Stegostoma tigrinum: one gene and its partner. The protein of the gene in region 2 interacts with the protein of the main gene of each other region in a pairwise test. Links are inferred from orthologs where the notes say so. Each region holds a gene or a part of one and is shown on either strand. Other genes may lie near its edges.

Region 1 (8,162 bases), on a different chromosome or scaffold from region 2:
ATGTGGATGCTTTGGAGAGGGTGCACAGGAGGTTCACCAGGATATTGCTTGTTATGGAGGGTGCTAGCTATGAAGAGAGGTTGAATAGATTAGGATTATTTTCATTAGAAAGATGGAGATTGAGGGGGAACCTGATTGACGTCTACAAAATCATGAGGGCTATAGGCAGGGTGGATAGCAAAAAGCTTTTTCCCAGAGTGGGGGACTCAATTACTAGGGGTCATGAGTTCAAAGTGAGAGGAGGAAAGTTTAAGGGAGATATGCGTGGAAAGTTCTTTACACAGAGGGTGGTGGGCGCCTGGAACGCGTTGCCAGCGGAGGTGGTAGACGCAGACACGATAGTGTCTTTTAAGATATATTTGGACAGGTACATGGATGGGCAGGGAGGAAAGGGATACAGACCGTTAGAAAATAGATGACAGGTTAGACAGAGGATCTTGATCGGCGTAGGCTTGGAGGTCCAAAGGGCCTGTTCCTGTGCTGTAGGTTTCTTTGGTTCTGAGTTAATTATTTCCGTGACTATATGGGCTTGTTTACTTAGTTTGGATTCTTCTACTTATGGCACATTTAGTTCAAAGCAACACTGAGTGAACGCAAGATAACACAGTGTGGAGCTGGAGGAACATAGCAGGCCAGGCAGCATCAGAGGAGCAGGAAAGCAGATGTTCTTGGCCATGAAAGATGTGAGCAGTGCCTGCATACTTTTCTCTGATGCTGCCTGGCCTGCTGTGTTCCTCCAGCTCCACGCTGTGTTATCTCTGACTCCAGGATCAGCAGTTCTTTCTATCTCTGAGAAAACACTAGATGCTTTCAACTGCCTGCAGCAAGGCCAAGACCTGTCTGAGCATGAGGAATTATAATTCCCAAACAATGCTCAAGCGCAATTTGGAAAGTGGGTGATGAAAAAGCCAATGTGAAATGCTGAGTTAATTATGGAGAATTTGTGTTGCTAATAATCTAGTTGTTTAGATTCAACAGGATTCGAGCACAATATCTATTTGGGAAATGGCAGTGGACAATGAAGTAATTTGTGAACAATTGATAGGTATCCTATAGGTCAGCTCTTCAATTGAGGCTTCACAGTAGGCTGTTGCAATAAAAAAATTCAGATGAGATTTTAACCATTTTTAATTAATTTGCTGGAACATAAATCAGGCCTGGGTATTACAGTCAACTGGATATTTTTCTGTTTGAAGAGCAGGACATTAACTCTCTGGCATGGTTGCCCATTGGCAGATAAAATCTGGCTTTCAATGTCTGCTGAATACTCTTCAATGGTACCAGTGGACATTGACAGGAAATTAAAACAAGAAAGAAACAGCCTGCATTGGCATATTGCCTCTCAATGTAGCAACTGGATATCCCAAAGGCTGCACAATCAACACAGCAGTGCTCAACAGTAACATGCCTGAAAAAGGGATCCAAGAACGGAAATAAATTCACCCTTGGACATCAGCTCAAATAAATAAATAAATTGATAAATCAGCTCACTTGCCAGTACCAATGAATTATCCTGATGCCTATCAAGGGTTTGCAAGCCTGTAGTGAATGTACAGAGATAGGGCCAAGATAGGAACAAAGGAAAAGCAGGGATAACGTGGAAAAGTTAAGGCAGTTTGGGGAAAAGTATGAACCAGTAATGACCTGCAGTTGTTTCATGTAATCAGAAGAGGTATGCTGGATACCATAAAATATTGTGAGTTTTATTCTGACTGCCTCCTGTAATCCTGGTTAGGGATATTATTTGGGTGTGACCTATTGTCAAAGTTTTCAAGCACTGCTCATAGAACATAGGACATTACAGCACACATTGATTTAAGGTAAGAGTTTATAGCAGACAGAAGTAAAACTTCTTTAAGCAAATGGTGGTGGCAAGCTGGTTCACACATCTTTTGGTTGCGAGCAATGTAATAATTTGGATACAGCAAATAATAGTTGATGATTATCATAATCGGCCCTCGATGTTGTGCTGACCTGTCATACCCATTTGAAGCCCATAAGCCATATTCGTTAGCAAGTGAACACTCCAGCAGTGACAGAAACTGCTGGAGAAACTCAGCAGGTCTGGCAGCATCCTGAGAGAAAACCATGTTAATGTTTGGAGTCCTATGAGCTTTCTCCAGCAACTTCTGTTTTGTTTTGTTTCAGCTCAATGGGCTCAATGACTTCCTTCTGGATTGTGACAATTATGATTTTCTGATTTTTTTTGGACCAGGGTACAAACTCAAGTGGGACAGTACAGATTATCATCGTGCAACATTCACTGTTTTTCTCCAGGTACTGTCTGACTTCCTGAGCATTTGAAGCAGTCTGTGTGGTTTTTTTTAAAAATTCCAGCTTCTCTGGTCTTCCCACACCATTGAAGTCCTTCTATTTGCTGCCATTCTAGTAAGAATTGAAATCTTCTCTTCATTCTCTCAACTAGAATGGCATGTGGGAAATGTTTTTAATCATCCAGTTCAGGTTTGTTATGGCATACCTCTGGAGCAGGCAGAATTGGGACCCCAGGCTCATGGCTCAGAGCCAGGGACACTACCACTGCGCCACAACAAAAGGTATGTAAGACACTTGCCTTAATGAGTCAAGGCACTAAAAACAAGAGTGAGGAGATAATGATGGAGCTGTATGTAATGTTCGGCCACTGCTGGAGTACTGTGTGCAGGTCTGGTTGCTGCTCTATAGGAAGGATGTGATTGCACTGGACAGGGTGCAGAGGAGATTCACTAGGAGGTTCCCTGGGATGGAGAGATCCAGAGAGACTGGGACAGACAAGCAGCCGGTTTAGAGCAGGGAGGGCTGAGGGGAATCTGACTGAGGTGTACAAAGTTTTAAGGGGCACACACGGGACGGTAAGGAGAAATGTTTTCCCTTAGTCCAGGGATCAGAAACTGGGGGCACAGTTTTTAAGGAAAGGAGCAGGTGGTTTAGAGAAGATTTAAGTAGGAAAATATTTTCATCTACGGTGGTGGGAATCTGGAACTGACTGATGGTTGATGCAGAAACCCTCAAGATTTTTTTGCCCAAATGTACCTTATTCATTTTAAAAATCATCTGTAGGTACATACAAAGTTTTTAAATCAGCTGTGTACAGTCTTTACAGAGAAAAAGCAAAACATCAGAATTTTGACATTTCTCACAGCCTTCCTATAGTTACAAAATCAAAAGTATTTGCAAATCATGCAGAAAACTATTAGCATGTATTTTGAGGCAATGAGAGGGTGTAAAAACATTTTGAGATGAATAACACACACACAGACTAAAGGATTACAGGCCTGGTGCTGGAGAATGAGATGTCAACCACAGCAGACCCAGTCACTGTGACACCCTCCCTAAAACCAAGTGGAGTATTAACCGGCACCTCACTAAAGAATTCCGTTTGGTTTACTTCTCCTTTCCTGAGGAACCAGATGATCCAAATGATAATTACATCTCCCAATGTCTGACAGGCAAGGCATTGCACGCCTGACATCACATCTGAGAAGGGTGGCAGCATGAGTCCTCTGAGGATGTCCTATAAACCAGGAGCCAGCACTGAGTGCACCCAGCCATGGATCCTAGCTGGGAGACCAAGATAACAAGGTGTAGAGCTGGATGAACACAGCAGGTCAAGCAGCATCTTAGGAGCAGGAAAGCTGATGCTTCCGGCCAAGAACCTTCATCAGAAAAGGGGAAGGGAGAGAGGGTTCTGAAATAAATAGGGAGAGAGGGGGAGGCGGATCGAAGATGGATAGAGGAGAAGATAGGTGGAGAGGAGACAAAGAGGCGGGGATGGAGCCAGTAACGGTGAGTGTAGGTGGAGAGTTAGGGAGGGAATAGGAAACGTCAGCTTTTGTGCTCCTAAGATGCTGCTTGGCCTGCTGTGTTCATCCAGCTCTACACTTTGTTATCAGAGATAATGGGAACTGCAGATGCTGGAGATTCCAAGATAATAAAATGTGAGGCTGGATGAACACAGCAGGCCAAGCAGCATCTCAGGAGCACTTTGTTATCTCGGATTCACCAGCATCTGCAGCTCCCATTACCTTTCGCTGGGAGACCATCGGGCAGGACCTCCAAGGCAGGTGGCAGCACTGAGACTAGCCTCGGATTGAGGGGGAGCCGAACAGTACTTGGCGTTGATTGGTCGTTGGGCCGGCCGCCGTCGAATGGACCTGGCTGCCATTGGTCGGACCTGAGGCGAAGGTGGCGAATGAACAATGCTGTTGCTAGCCACGTGTCCCAAGGGGGGGGGGGAACAATTCGAAGCGACTGGAAGGGGGGTTGCGCTCCAGAGGAGTGCCCGAGCCCGGGGGTAGGATCGCCGCCGCCTGAGGATTCCCGGAGGTCGGAGAGAGGAACTGCCGCAGGATTCCAGTCACTGGGTCATTCTCCTCCCTCAGGGGCTCCGTTCAAATTAAACAACCGATTTGTTTTCCTTCAAGTGGGAGGCGCTGAGGGGGCGGGTGTGGGTTCAGGGGGAAAGATACAGGCCCCGGGGGAACCATCGTCCCTTAGACAACCCTTCACCCCCCACACAGGGTCAAAACAACCCCCACACCCCGTCAGACAATCCCTCCCCCCACAGGGTCAAAACAACCCCCACACCCCGTCAGACAATCCCTCCCCCCCCCACATAGGGTCAAAACAACCCCCACACCCCGTCAGACAATCCCTCCCCCCACAGGGTCAAAACAACCCCCACACCCCGTCAGACAATCCCTCCCCCCACAGGGTCAAAACAACCCCCACACCCCGTCAGACAATCCCTCCCCCCCCCCACATAGGGTCAAAACAACCCCCACACCCCGTCAGACAATCCCTCTCTTCCCCCCCACAGGATCAAAACAACCCCCACACCCCGTCAGACAATCCCTTCCCCCCCCCCCACAGGGTCAAAACACCTCTTCTCCCTCCCCCCCCCCCCGAGACAACCCCCTTCACCCACACAGGCACAAAGCAACCCATAAACCCCTTTCCCACAGGGACAAACCCCCCCCGTGAGAAAACTACTCCCCTCCCCTACAGGAACAAACCCCCCCTACCCGAGACAATTCCTTCCACATCCCCTCAACAGTCACCCACCCCACCCACTTCCTGAGTCAAAACCCCCACCCTGTGAGACAACTTGTCTGTTCCCCCATCGGGACAAAACCCTCCCCCAACAGGGACACCCCCCACCACCCCGAGACAATCCCTTCCCCCCCACCCCCATAGGGATAAAACTCCCTTCCCCCACAGGGACAAGAAACAGAGACAAAACCCTCCACCCCGAGGGGAACAGCCCCCATCACCGTATGAAGACCACCCCTCCCAGATACAGCGATCACCTTTCACTTCCTGAACCGAACCAAACCCACACACCTTCTCTCCCCCCCCCCCGAGAAATCGCTCCCTTCGCCCTCCCCGAGGCAGCTCTCCGCCCACTCTCCCATTGGAAATCAGTGCCTCCGCCCACACTCGGAGACAACACTCGCTGTCTCGCACTTCCTGAGACTCCAGTTCCCCCTCAGCACACCACCCTGTGAGCCCTCGCTGTCACTCCCTGTGAAAACACACACTCCACTCCCTGAGATCTAGGGCTCAGACCTTCCAGCAACATGGCAACAGAGGCAGAGAGCAAATTCAGAAACTCTGCAGCAGGTACTGAGACACAGGAGGTCTGGATGTTCATTGCAATGGCTTTTTGAACGCAGAGATTCTATTTAAAATGATTTTTTAATAACAAGTAGTATTGTGATCACGATGTGCAAGGCGAATATCTATTTTGGGACTGAAATTCTTAATTTTCGTGTGCTTTAACCCTCATTGCACCTCTTCGAATAAGTTTTTTGTTTTGTTTTCAAATGCCGCGTGTGTTGCCATATTTCTTCCAGAAGTACTTCCACTTTAAAAGTTCCAGGGAAGCATCTTGCATGGCCACGTGCTGTGATGGAGTGTTACTGTTCTTTAGTGTGTTTCCTAGTCAGTGTGTATTTGGTGGTTTTGAGAATTGAATTTCTTCAGTCACTGTTTTGTTTCGGAAGGTATTGATGTTCTTAACCCTTTAATCGCCGCGATGATGCACACGTTTACTTAAGTGTTAATCTAGGATTTTAAGATTTAACGAGTTGGTAATTTCTCTCATCACTCCTCCCCCCTTCCAAAACAAAACAAAAATTGGCCTTTTTTTTCAAGAATTAAAATGAACTTTGTGCACCACAGGGGATCTTGCATTATATATCAAAGTTGTTTGTGGCATTTGTGGGAGGAAAGCAACCTTGTATTGAAGAACTTTGCAGTTTAAAGTAAAAGTCTGCTGTATCTGTTATGTAATACAGGTTGCAGTAATTGCCGTGATGGCTGTTATGCTTTTGGTTGAAGGCGTTAGTTCTCCAGAATATTGTATTTTGTCTTTGAATAATATCACGCGACCTTTTTATCGTAAACTGGAGGAGGTAAATTGGTCTCCCCTCTAACCATACAGTGCTACTTCAATAATGCGTGGTAATATTGGCCCAATTCCTGAATGTAGACTGGAATTTGCAACTATCTGAACCAAGTTGTTTGTTGTAATTGAGATTCTTTTATGTTAATAACATTTTATTTTAATATATTGTGATAATGTTGTGATTGGGTGAAACAGATCGTATGATGTATTCATGACATGTATAGCTCTTGTTTCCCAGCAGGTGTAGCAACTCATGTCTGTCACTGCTGGACAAATAATAGGACTGATGGGTTGAGGGATTGATCTTCTAACCATTTTAAAATGAAGGACAGGCATGGCTCTTAAAGCTAATTTAGTTTTGTATTCTGTGACAGAGGGTCATGTCTCTTGTCAGTCTTTTGCACTTCATCATGTGCTCCCTGTCTGCTTGCCTGGCATCGAGCCCAGTTAAACACTGGAAATTTCAAGACTGTAATCTTCCATTTTCACTGCTTCCCAACTTCATGTATTTTAGTACCTCCACACCTGATTGTACCAATGCTTTGCACCAAGTTCCATTCATTTGTTTCATTTCCTAACATTTATATATTGTTCTGTAGTCCTAAGACCTCTGAAAAAATCTCACTGATTAACTCCCTGTGTGATGCTGTACCCATTACCTCTATTGTTTATTCTATCTTTACAGCCCTTCACTAACATTGTATTCTTCTTGAACGTGCCTTCATGGCTGAGCCTTTGGCTTTTTAGACCCTAAATTCTGGATTTTCCTTTCTAAGCCTTTTTTGTTTCTGCCTTCGCCATCTTCTCGTGCACTCCTTAAATCTTATCGGTTTGACCAAGCTTTTTGTTCCTCACCTAATATTGACTTTTCTCTTTTTATCCATTCATTGGAAGTGAACCTCACTGGCTATGCCAGCATCTGTTGCCCATCCCTGATTTCCCTTGGTGGTAGTGATGAGCTGCATTGTCAAGTCGCTGTAGTACATGATGTTCCGGTACACGCAGTGCTGTTAGAGAAGGAAATTCCAGGATTTTACCCGAATGAATGCTGATGAATTTCCAACTCTCAATGGCCTGAGGCTCAAAGGGGGACCTGCAGCTGATGATCAAAGGTGCTCCTATGTATTTTTTTGTCCTTGACCTCTATTACCTAGAAAGATGCAGATTTGGAAGGAGCTATCACAGGAACCTGGGTGAGTTGTTTCAGTGCGTCCTGTAGATGATCCACACTATTGCCACTGTGTTACAGGTAGTGGGAGTGAATCTTTGTGGTGGTTTTTGTTAATTGCTGTCTGAACCGGCTTCTGCACAACACCATATTTTGTCAAGAGATAAGAGTGTGGAGCTGGATGAACACAGCAGGCCAAGCAGCATCTTAGGAACACAAATGCTGATGTTTTGGGCCTAGACTCTTCTTCAGAAAAGGGGGAGAGAGAGAGGGGGAGGCAGATAAAAGATGGATAGAGGAGAAGATAGGTGGAGATGAGACAGAAGTTAGAGGCGGGGATGGAGTCAGTAGAGGTGAGTGTAGGTAGGGAGGGGATAAGTCAGTCTGGGGAGGATGGACAGGTCAAGGGGGCGGGATGAGGTTAGTAGGTAGTGTTAAGGTTATTTTGTCAAAGCTGTTTATACAAAAGCAGGCTGCCTCATTTAATGGGAATTTGAAATTTCTCCATAAGACCATTAAACACAGGAGTGGAAGTAAGGCCATTCGGCCCATTAAGTCCACTCCGCTATTTAAATCAGGGCTGGTGGG
Region 2 (8,687 bases):
ATTTCACAATATAAACTAAAACTAAAGATTAATCAGCCATCTCTATTTAGTGTAAAAGATCCTATGATGCTTTTTCTTAAAAATACAACACAGGAGTTCTTCCTCCTATCCTGGCTAATCTTCAGCCCTCATTTCATTTTGCTGTTTCATTTTGATGTATGCAAGTTGCTTAATTTATTTTTTTATTCCTATCTGAACTTGCACTTTAAGAACACTTTTAGCACCCATAAAGTAATTACATACTGTTGAGTTGTAACTGCTTAGCAACATGGGAACAATCGTTTTAAAATTAAAATGTAAGGCAACTGGCATTTATAATATAAACACACAACTTTACCGGATGATGAGGATATTGGTGTTGAAAGTTCCATAGAGAAATCTGAACACCTAGTGAGTTACTGGAAGAACTACACCAAACGATTTAATGTTTTAAAACAATACAGACTTTACTGTATATATAAAAACAAAGCAAGCATCTTAACACCATAGTTTGTCAAGACTTTTAATCATCAGTTCTTATCCAGTCCCCCTTTTACTGCTTTAATTTCACAATTTTGAGGGTTCATTCACCTCTTCATCTGGAAACAAACCAAGAAAGGCAAAGCTCTCTGGAATTCTCTTTGTCTTCTGCTTAGTGTGCCAGCTAATCTCCAACTTATGAGATGCAATGAGGACCCTTGAGTTTGCTTGTGGTTTGGTGATTGTCCAACATTTCTACAAAAAACCATAACTGGTAACTTCTGAGCTCAACCTTGAACCTCATAGCTTTTGTATTTATCAATTTAAAAATCAGAACATCCTAGTTCCATTTGCCTTTCTGCTCCTGTTGTTTTTTTTGGACAGACAGAAGCTGGTTTAATTAAAACAGAAAGCGTTGGCGTAACTTAGCAGTTCTGATAAACTCTTTCTCTCTGCATAAAAGTCATAGAAGTTCACTATGACTTTTTCAGGTTAACCTGTTCTGTTTCTCCAGCACTTTGATTTCATTTCAAATCTCCAGCATCCCCAGTATTTGCTCTAATACAGGTTGCTTTCACCCTGTCTTTTCTCAGTTTCTGCACAACTCTTGGTCCAACAGCTGCTTTACAGTTCTTGACAAGCTGCCTTTCTCTGCCTGATGCCAAGCTAAATTGCTTTTGCCAAGTTAGTTTCCTGTAAATTTTATCTTCTAACTCCAAGGTAGGCAGATCTTCCAATCTCTTTTCCCCTCCCAACTCTTTCTTCAACTGAGCATGAGCTCCCACTGTATCCTCACAATAAAATTAGTATTGTCATAGAGGTGCACAGCACAGAAACAGATCCTTCGGTCCAACACTTCCATGCTGACCAAATATCCTAAATTAATTTTGGCTCATTTGCTAGCTTTTGGCCCATATCCCTCTAAACCCTTCCTATTCATATACCCATTCAGATGTCTTTTAGATGTTGTAATTGTACCAGTCTTCACCACTTCTTCTGGCAGTTCATTCCACACACGCACCACACTCTGAGTGAAAAAGTTGCCCTCTAGGTCCCTTTTAACTCTTTCCCCTCTCACATTAAACACCTGCCCTCTAGTTTTGGACCCTCTAGCCTGAGGAACAGACCTTAACGATTCACCCTATCCCGTGCACATCATGATTTTATAAATCTCTATAAGGTCACCCCTCAGCCTATGATGCTCCAGCACCAGCCTAATCAGTCTCTCCCTATTGCTCAAACCCTCCAGCCTTGGCAACATCCTTATAAATCTTTTGTGAACCCTTTCAAGTTTAACAACATCTTTCATAAAGCAAGGGAATCTGAATTGAACATAGTAGTCCAAAAGTGGCATAACCAATGTCCTGCACAGCCACAACATGACCTCCCAACTCCTACACTCAATGCACTGACCAATAAAGACGAGTGTATGAAATACCTTCTTCACTACCCTGCCTACATGGGAATCCAATTTCAGGAAGAATAAACCTGCACTCCAAGGTCCCTTTGTTGGACAACTCTCCCAGGACATTTGCGTTAAATGTGTAAGTCATGGTCTGATTTGCCCTAACAAAAAGTAACACCTCACATTTATCCAGATTAAACTCCATCTGCCACTCTTCAGCCCATCAGCCCATTTGATCAATGTCCCATTGTACTCTGAAGTAACCTTCTTTGCTGTCCACTTCACCACCAATTTTTGTCATCTGCAAATTTTCTAACCATACCCCTACATTCACATCCAAATATCTTTGCTTCAGGTGCAGGCCTAGCTTACATCAATTTATTTTGTTCCTTCAACTCTGAGTGAGTTGAAACCTTCATAAAACCAAAGCTGCAACTTCCTCTACCTATTCGTAAATTGAACACTTTTGCAAAGCAAAATATCAGTCTTAAGACATTATAACATTAGAATTGTCATGACATTAGGAAAGGGGCAACCAATCTCCTAATTGAAATGAATGGGCGGAGATGATTGGGAAGAGATTTTGTTACAACATTGGTGTGTGTAAAATTGTAAAATGGGGAAAAGTATTGCATTGTCCCTTTAAAAGATTACGTTTTTTACAGTACTTAAGAGTTAAAATGGATGTCTGAACTAGGAAATTACACAGAAAACATCTATGACAGCAAGATCTGCAGAAGAAAGATGTTTGTGAGTTGAAATCAAGAGGAAATGCTGGAGAAGGCAGAGTGTTCCGGAAGACACACAAATCCACCCTTCACTCCATTCTCAATAGCGTGTCATTTCATCTTATCACTTTAACCCAGATATTAGGTACAGTTTTGTGGGCTCTGAAAGCTGTATGAAGACAAAGTTCAGATCACTATTAACAATGGATAACATGGCACAGTGGTAGAGTGGTTCGCACTACTGCCTCACAGCACCAGGGTTCAATTCCACCCTCGGGTGACTGTGTGGAGTTTGCATGTTCTCCCTGTGTCTGTGTGGGTTTCCTCTGGGTGCTCCAGTTTCCTCCCACAGTCCAAAGATGTGCAGGCTAGGTGGATCGGCCATGCTAAATTGTCCATAGTGTTCAGCGATGTATAGCTTAGGTGGGTTATAGGGGGATGGGTCTGAGTGGGATGCTCCAAGTGTCAGTGTGGACTTGTTGGGCTGAAGGGCTTGTTTCCATGCTGTTGGAATTCTATGAAGATGCAGTCTGTGTGAACTTGGAGAGATTAAGTTTTAATTTACTGTTTTATTAATTGGGTTTATATAAGTGGGACTTGTGTTTATTTGAAGTGTTTCAGTAGAATTTTGTTCAATTAGTGAAATGTTAGAAGTTGGGGGTGGAGCAACTGTTCAGTATGTTATTGTTAGAGTTAAATAAATAAATTGTTATTTGTTATTTATAAAGTGACTATCAGGAATTTTCTTTCACTTAACCTCCCCGGGTCCGTAACAGTTTAACAGATTAGGAGAGGTGAGGCGAGTTTCTCTGGGTGTTTTGGGTTTAATCATTAGAAAGGGACTGCGACTCCTGCTGTAACAGATTGGAGGCTTGTTTTTCAATTTTAGTTATCAGAAAGGTTCAACCTCCCCTTCCTAACAATTTTCAGTAAATAGGACCCTCGCTGCTGTTTTTGAGAAGTTGAGGGGGAGAGATTCACAGAGGTTAGAGTCAGAGGATCAAAGTCTGAGCATAGTTTTATGAGGTACAGCATTTCCAATTGATTGGAAGAGTGAGGCCATGGAAGATTTTAATACAAGGATTATAATTTTTAAATTTCAAACCTTAAAGACAGGAAGCCAATGAGATCAAAGAATGGTAAGGATTTGGAACAAGCAAGGCTTTGCACGTTTGGAAAACCGTAAACAGTTACAATTTTACATAGATTGGAAGATATGAGATCATTCTGGAATGTCAAATCTGGAGGTGACAATGCAAGGCATTGTAAAGGGTTTCAGCAGCAGCTGGTCTTAGAACAAGTGTGGAGGGGGACGCAGATGTGGTAAGCTTTCTACAAGCAATGGAAAGGATCTAAGGTCTGATATTTAGCCATGGTCAATCATGACACTGAGGCTGTGAATATTCCAGTTCAACCTAAATCATAAATAATAAGGTGTGGAGCTGGGTGAACACAGCAGGACAGGCGGCATCAGATGAGCAGGAATGCTGATGTTTCAGCTCTGGACCCTTCTTGAGAAACCGGTAGCATTGCAAACATCAAGGACAGTCTACCGACACCAATGCCACTCCATCCACCGCTGACGCCGCTCTGCCCACCGCCCCTACAGCTAGCAAGTCTATAGTCAAAAGCAGCCCCAGCCCTGCTGGGTTTTCACCATCCCCCTGGACCTCCCCCTCACTGAAGATGAACGGTCATTCCTCAGCAAAGGACTCACCTCTATCCCCCTCCATCCAAACATCAATGAATATTGCTCATGCCTGGAAGTTGAACAGTGTTTCCACCACCTCTGTGCTTATTTCTTTAATCGTGAGTCTATCCCCCCCTCTACGGACCCCTTCTCCCACCTCCAACACACCCCATCCTCCTAGACACCACCCCAAGGCCTCCTACCCTCCCTCGACCTCTTCAGCTCTAACTGCCATTTCCAAAGAAGGGTCGAGACCCAAAACAAGATAACAAAGTGTGAAGCTGGATGAACACAGCAGGTCAAGCAGCATAAAAGCTGACGTTTCGGGCCTAGACTCTTCATCAGAACCGAAATGTCAGCTTTCCTGCTCCTCTGATGCTGCCTGGCCTGCTGTGTTCATCCAGCTCCACACATTGTTATCTGATATTCTCCAGCGTCGGCAGTTCCTATTCTTTCTCAACCTGAATCATGGCTAGGGTGAAGGTTAGAATCAATTGCACAGAAGCAGAATCTGTGGTAGGGATTCAGAATACTTTGGGTTTCCCAATGCTCAGTTTGAGTAATCCAAGTTTAAGCCAATGCTATATTTCACGGCATAAAGTCTGTCAGCACAATGATAGGAAAAAAGGGATCAAAAATGGATAATTAAGGTGGCTATCATGGGAACTTAAGACCTCACGCTTTTCAAATATCTGGACCAAATCCCTCAGGAACTGCTGTCAATCAAATCGACGACACGCCCAGTGACGATATCACGCTGACGTACACGAGCTGGGTCACGTAGATTGGCGGCGTTCACGCATGCGTGTTGTCGGACTCTCCCGGTGTTTGACGGTATTCGTGTGACCAGGGACCGGATCATGGCAAGTTCGGGGAGGAAGCGCATCCTGAAGGAGGAAGATATCTCCAAGGTGGAGTTTGAGACAAGCGAGGAGGTGGATGTCACCCCTACCTTCGACACGATGGGCTTGCGGGAGGACTTACTGCGGGGTATCTACGCGTACGGTGAGTGCGGCCTAGACTGGCAGGAAGCCTCGCGGCGGCGCGATGCTGAGGTGATTGAAACCAGGGCTTCAGACCTTGGCCTTGATGGAGTGGACCCTGTTCACGCTCCTGGAGCCAGAGTGTTTCTGTTAGAGGCCCAGGATGCCCGCAAATCCATCTCCTTCTTCCACTAATCAGTTGCGTGCATTAAGTGGACAGCGCCCTCAACGGTAAGGATTTGGAACAAGCAAGGCTTTGCACGTTTGGAAAACCGTAAACAGTTACAATTTTACATAGATTGGAGGATATGAGATCGTTCTGGAATGTCAAATCTGGAGGTGACAATGCAAGGCATTTTAAAGGGTTTCAGCAGCAGATGGTCTTAGGACAAGTGTGGAGGGGGGCGCAGATGTGGTAAGCTTTTGCTAAGAAATTAAGGTCCATGACATTTTGCTGGCTGTAAATAAAGTAATTACCATAATCCCAATGGACTGTAGGGCTAAGAAAAAAGGTGTAGAGCTGGACTGTAGGGCTGCTGTGTCATTAGAAATGCCTGTGGTGTTTTAACATGAGAGTAACCACCCAGTCAGACAAGAGGCACAGGTGAGAAGGTGGGACCTTCGTAGTAACCTCAGCTGGGACAAGAATTGAACGTTGGCTGTAAGCATCACCTTTACATCACAAAAGAGTCATCTAGCCAGCAACCATGAAGTAATTAAATACTGTTGAAGTGTAACTACCTTTGCAGTGTAGGAAACAGTTTTAAAATTGGAAGGTGTTAAGCTTCTTGAGTGATGTTGGGGCTGCACTCATCCAGGCAACTGAGGGGGTATTCCATCACACTCGTGACTTGTGTGTTTGCAGATGGTGGACAGTCTTTGAGGAGCCAGGTGGTGAGTTACTCGCCACAGTATTCCCACTTCTGGCCTGCTCTTCTAGCCACCGTGTTTATGTGGTGAGTCCAGTTGAGTTTCTGGTCAGTGATAACCTCCAAGATGTTGATAGTGGGGGATTCAGTGTTGGTAACACCGTTGAATGTCAAGGGCTGGTGGTTAGATTGTCTCTTGTTGGTGATAGTCATGGTCTGGCATTTGTGTGGCATGAATGTCACTTACCACTTGTCAGCCCAAACCTGGATGTTGTCCAGATCTTGTTGCATTTGAACACGGATTGCTTCAGTATCTGAGGCATCATGAGTGGTGCTGATCATTGTGCAATCATCGGTGAACATCCCCACTTCTGACCTTATGATGGAAGGAAGGTCATTGATGAAGCAGCTGAAGATGGTTGGACTGAGGACACTATCCTGAGGAACTCCTACACAGATGTCCTGGGGCTGAGAATGATTGACCTTCAACGACCACAACCATATTCTATATTTCAGGTATGACTCCAACCACCAGAGAGTTTGCCCCCTGTTATCCATTGATTCCAGTTTTGCTCGGGCTCCCTGATGCCACATTCAGTCAAATGCGGTCTTGGTGTCAAGGGCTGTCACTTTCACCTCACCTCTGGAATTCAGCTCTTTTGACCGTGTTTGAACCAAGGCTGTAATGAGATCAGGACCTGAGTGGCCCTAGCGGAACCCAAACTGGGTGTTGCTGAGCAGGTGCTGCTTGATAACACTCTTAATGACACCTTCCATCGTTTTACTGGTGATTGAGAGTAGACTGATGGGGTGGTAATTGGCAGTGTTGGATTTGTCCCACCTTTTGTGTACAGGACGTACTTTGGCAGTTTTCCACACTGTTGGATTGTGACTGTACTGGAACAGCTTGTGACTGTTGTGACTGTACTAGAACAGCTCAGTTAAAGGAGAGGCAAGTTCTGAAGCACAAGTCAGTACTGTTGTCGGTATGTTGTCAAGGCCCATAGCCTTTGCAGTATCCAGTGCCTCCAACCGATTCTTGATATCTCATAGAGTGAATCGAATTGGCTGAAGACTAGTATCTGTAATGCTGGGGACGACCAGAGGAGGCTGAGCTGGATCATCCACTTGGCACTTCTGGCTGAAGATTGCTGCAAAAGCTTCAGCCTTATCTTTTGCACTGATATGCTGGGTTCTTCCATCATTGAGGATGGGGATATTTGTGGAGTGGCCCCCTCCAGAGAGTTGTTTAATTGTCCACCACCATTCACGACTGGATGTGGCAGGACTGTAGAGCTTAGATCTGATCTATTGCTTGTGGGATCACTTAGCTCTGAGTGTCACTTGCTGCTTTCTCTGTTCGGCGTGCAAGTAGTCCTGTTGGTGGCTTCACCAGATTGGCACCTCATCATCAGGTATGCCTGGTGCTGTTCGTGGCCTTCCCTCCTGCACTGTCCATTGAACCAGGGTTGAGTCACTGGCTTGATGGTAATGGTTGAGTTGGGGATATGCCGGGCCATGAGGTTACAGATTGTGCTGAATTGCAATTCTGGAATGAACTGCCAGAGGAAGTAGTAGAGGTGTGTACAGTTAGAATATTTAAGACATTTGGACAAGCACATTACTAGGAAAGTTTCAGAGTTATATGGGCCAAACTGAACTGGGATGGAAAGGTTACCTTAGGCGAAAAGGTTAAGGAGGTGGGTGTATATCATTTGGAGTTTGCAAGAATCAGATTTAATCTTAACGAGAGAAGTAAAATTATGAGGCCCTGACACAGATACTAAGAGGAGGTTTACCCCCACTGGGGTCTGTACAATGAGGAAGCAAAATTTCAAGGCAACAGGTATCTCATTTAGGGCAGAGATGAGGCAAAACTTTTCCTAATGAATGATAGGAAGGGACTCCATTGGCTAAGTGGCCAACTGCTGTTGAATCCAAGAGCTGCATGTTTCTGGTTTTCTCTGGCAGCAATGATATAAAGTCATTACGTTAAGGAGCTAAAGACTCAGCGACACTCCGTACGCAGAAGTGAACAAAAGATTAGGACATCCTGCATATATCATCTGGGGATCCTAGAACATTCCAGTAGCATAAAAATCAAGCGTTTGTGACCTTAGTTTCTGAAGGCAATGCAAGCCTGACCGTACGGAGACAAAGTCTTCCTGACATGAGGCCACGGGTCTCCATGACTGCCATCTTATACACTGGTGTTGTAGCATGTGAACACTTGCATTAATAGTTTCTCTCGGTGGATATGGCTTCCTGCTGAGGGCTGTCACTTAGTGTTTTGTTGCCTGTCATATCTCCTTCCATTAGAATCACCCTTAACTTTGCCAGAAAATATGTTAAGAACTTCATGGAGAGCAGTAACATTTAAAGAGAAATTTAAACACTCAGTGACTAACTGCAAGATATAATGTTTTTAAACAAAACAAACTTTGTATATGAAAAGACAAAGCAATCATCATTACCTGAACACTATAGTGTGTCAAGACTTGTACTCAAGTTCGTATCCAGTCTCCATTTTTACTGCCCAATTCCACAAACATG

Evidence for each region. The genes of interacting proteins can lie anywhere in the genome.
Region 1: the proteins of eif4a3 (region 2) and pdcd4b interact in binary tests that used the Homo sapiens proteins (3 or more experiments, as listed by UniProt). The two-hybrid records come from large-scale screens. The link is inferred for Stegostoma tigrinum from reciprocal best matches to the Homo sapiens genes EIF4A3 and PDCD4.

Annotation. Positions count from the first base shown.
Region 1 is NC_081373.1:2,184,627-2,192,788, reverse strand, and holds the start of pdcd4b (programmed cell death protein 4b), read left to right. Parts: upstream 1-4,930; 5' UTR 4,931-5,576; coding exon 5,577-5,619; intron 5,620-8,162. UniProt on the Homo sapiens protein: Inhibits translation initiation and cap-dependent translation. May excert its function by hindering the interaction between EIF4A1 and EIF4G. Inhibits the helicase activity of EIF4A. Modulates the activation of JUN kinase.
Region 2 is NC_081362.1:20,269,744-20,278,430, forward strand, and holds the start of eif4a3 (eukaryotic initiation factor 4A-III), read left to right. Parts: upstream 1-5,065; 5' UTR 5,066-5,142; coding exon 5,143-5,287; intron 5,288-8,687. UniProt on the Homo sapiens protein: ATP-dependent RNA helicase. Involved in pre-mRNA splicing as component of the spliceosome. Core component of the splicing-dependent multiprotein exon junction complex (EJC) deposited at splice junctions on mRNAs.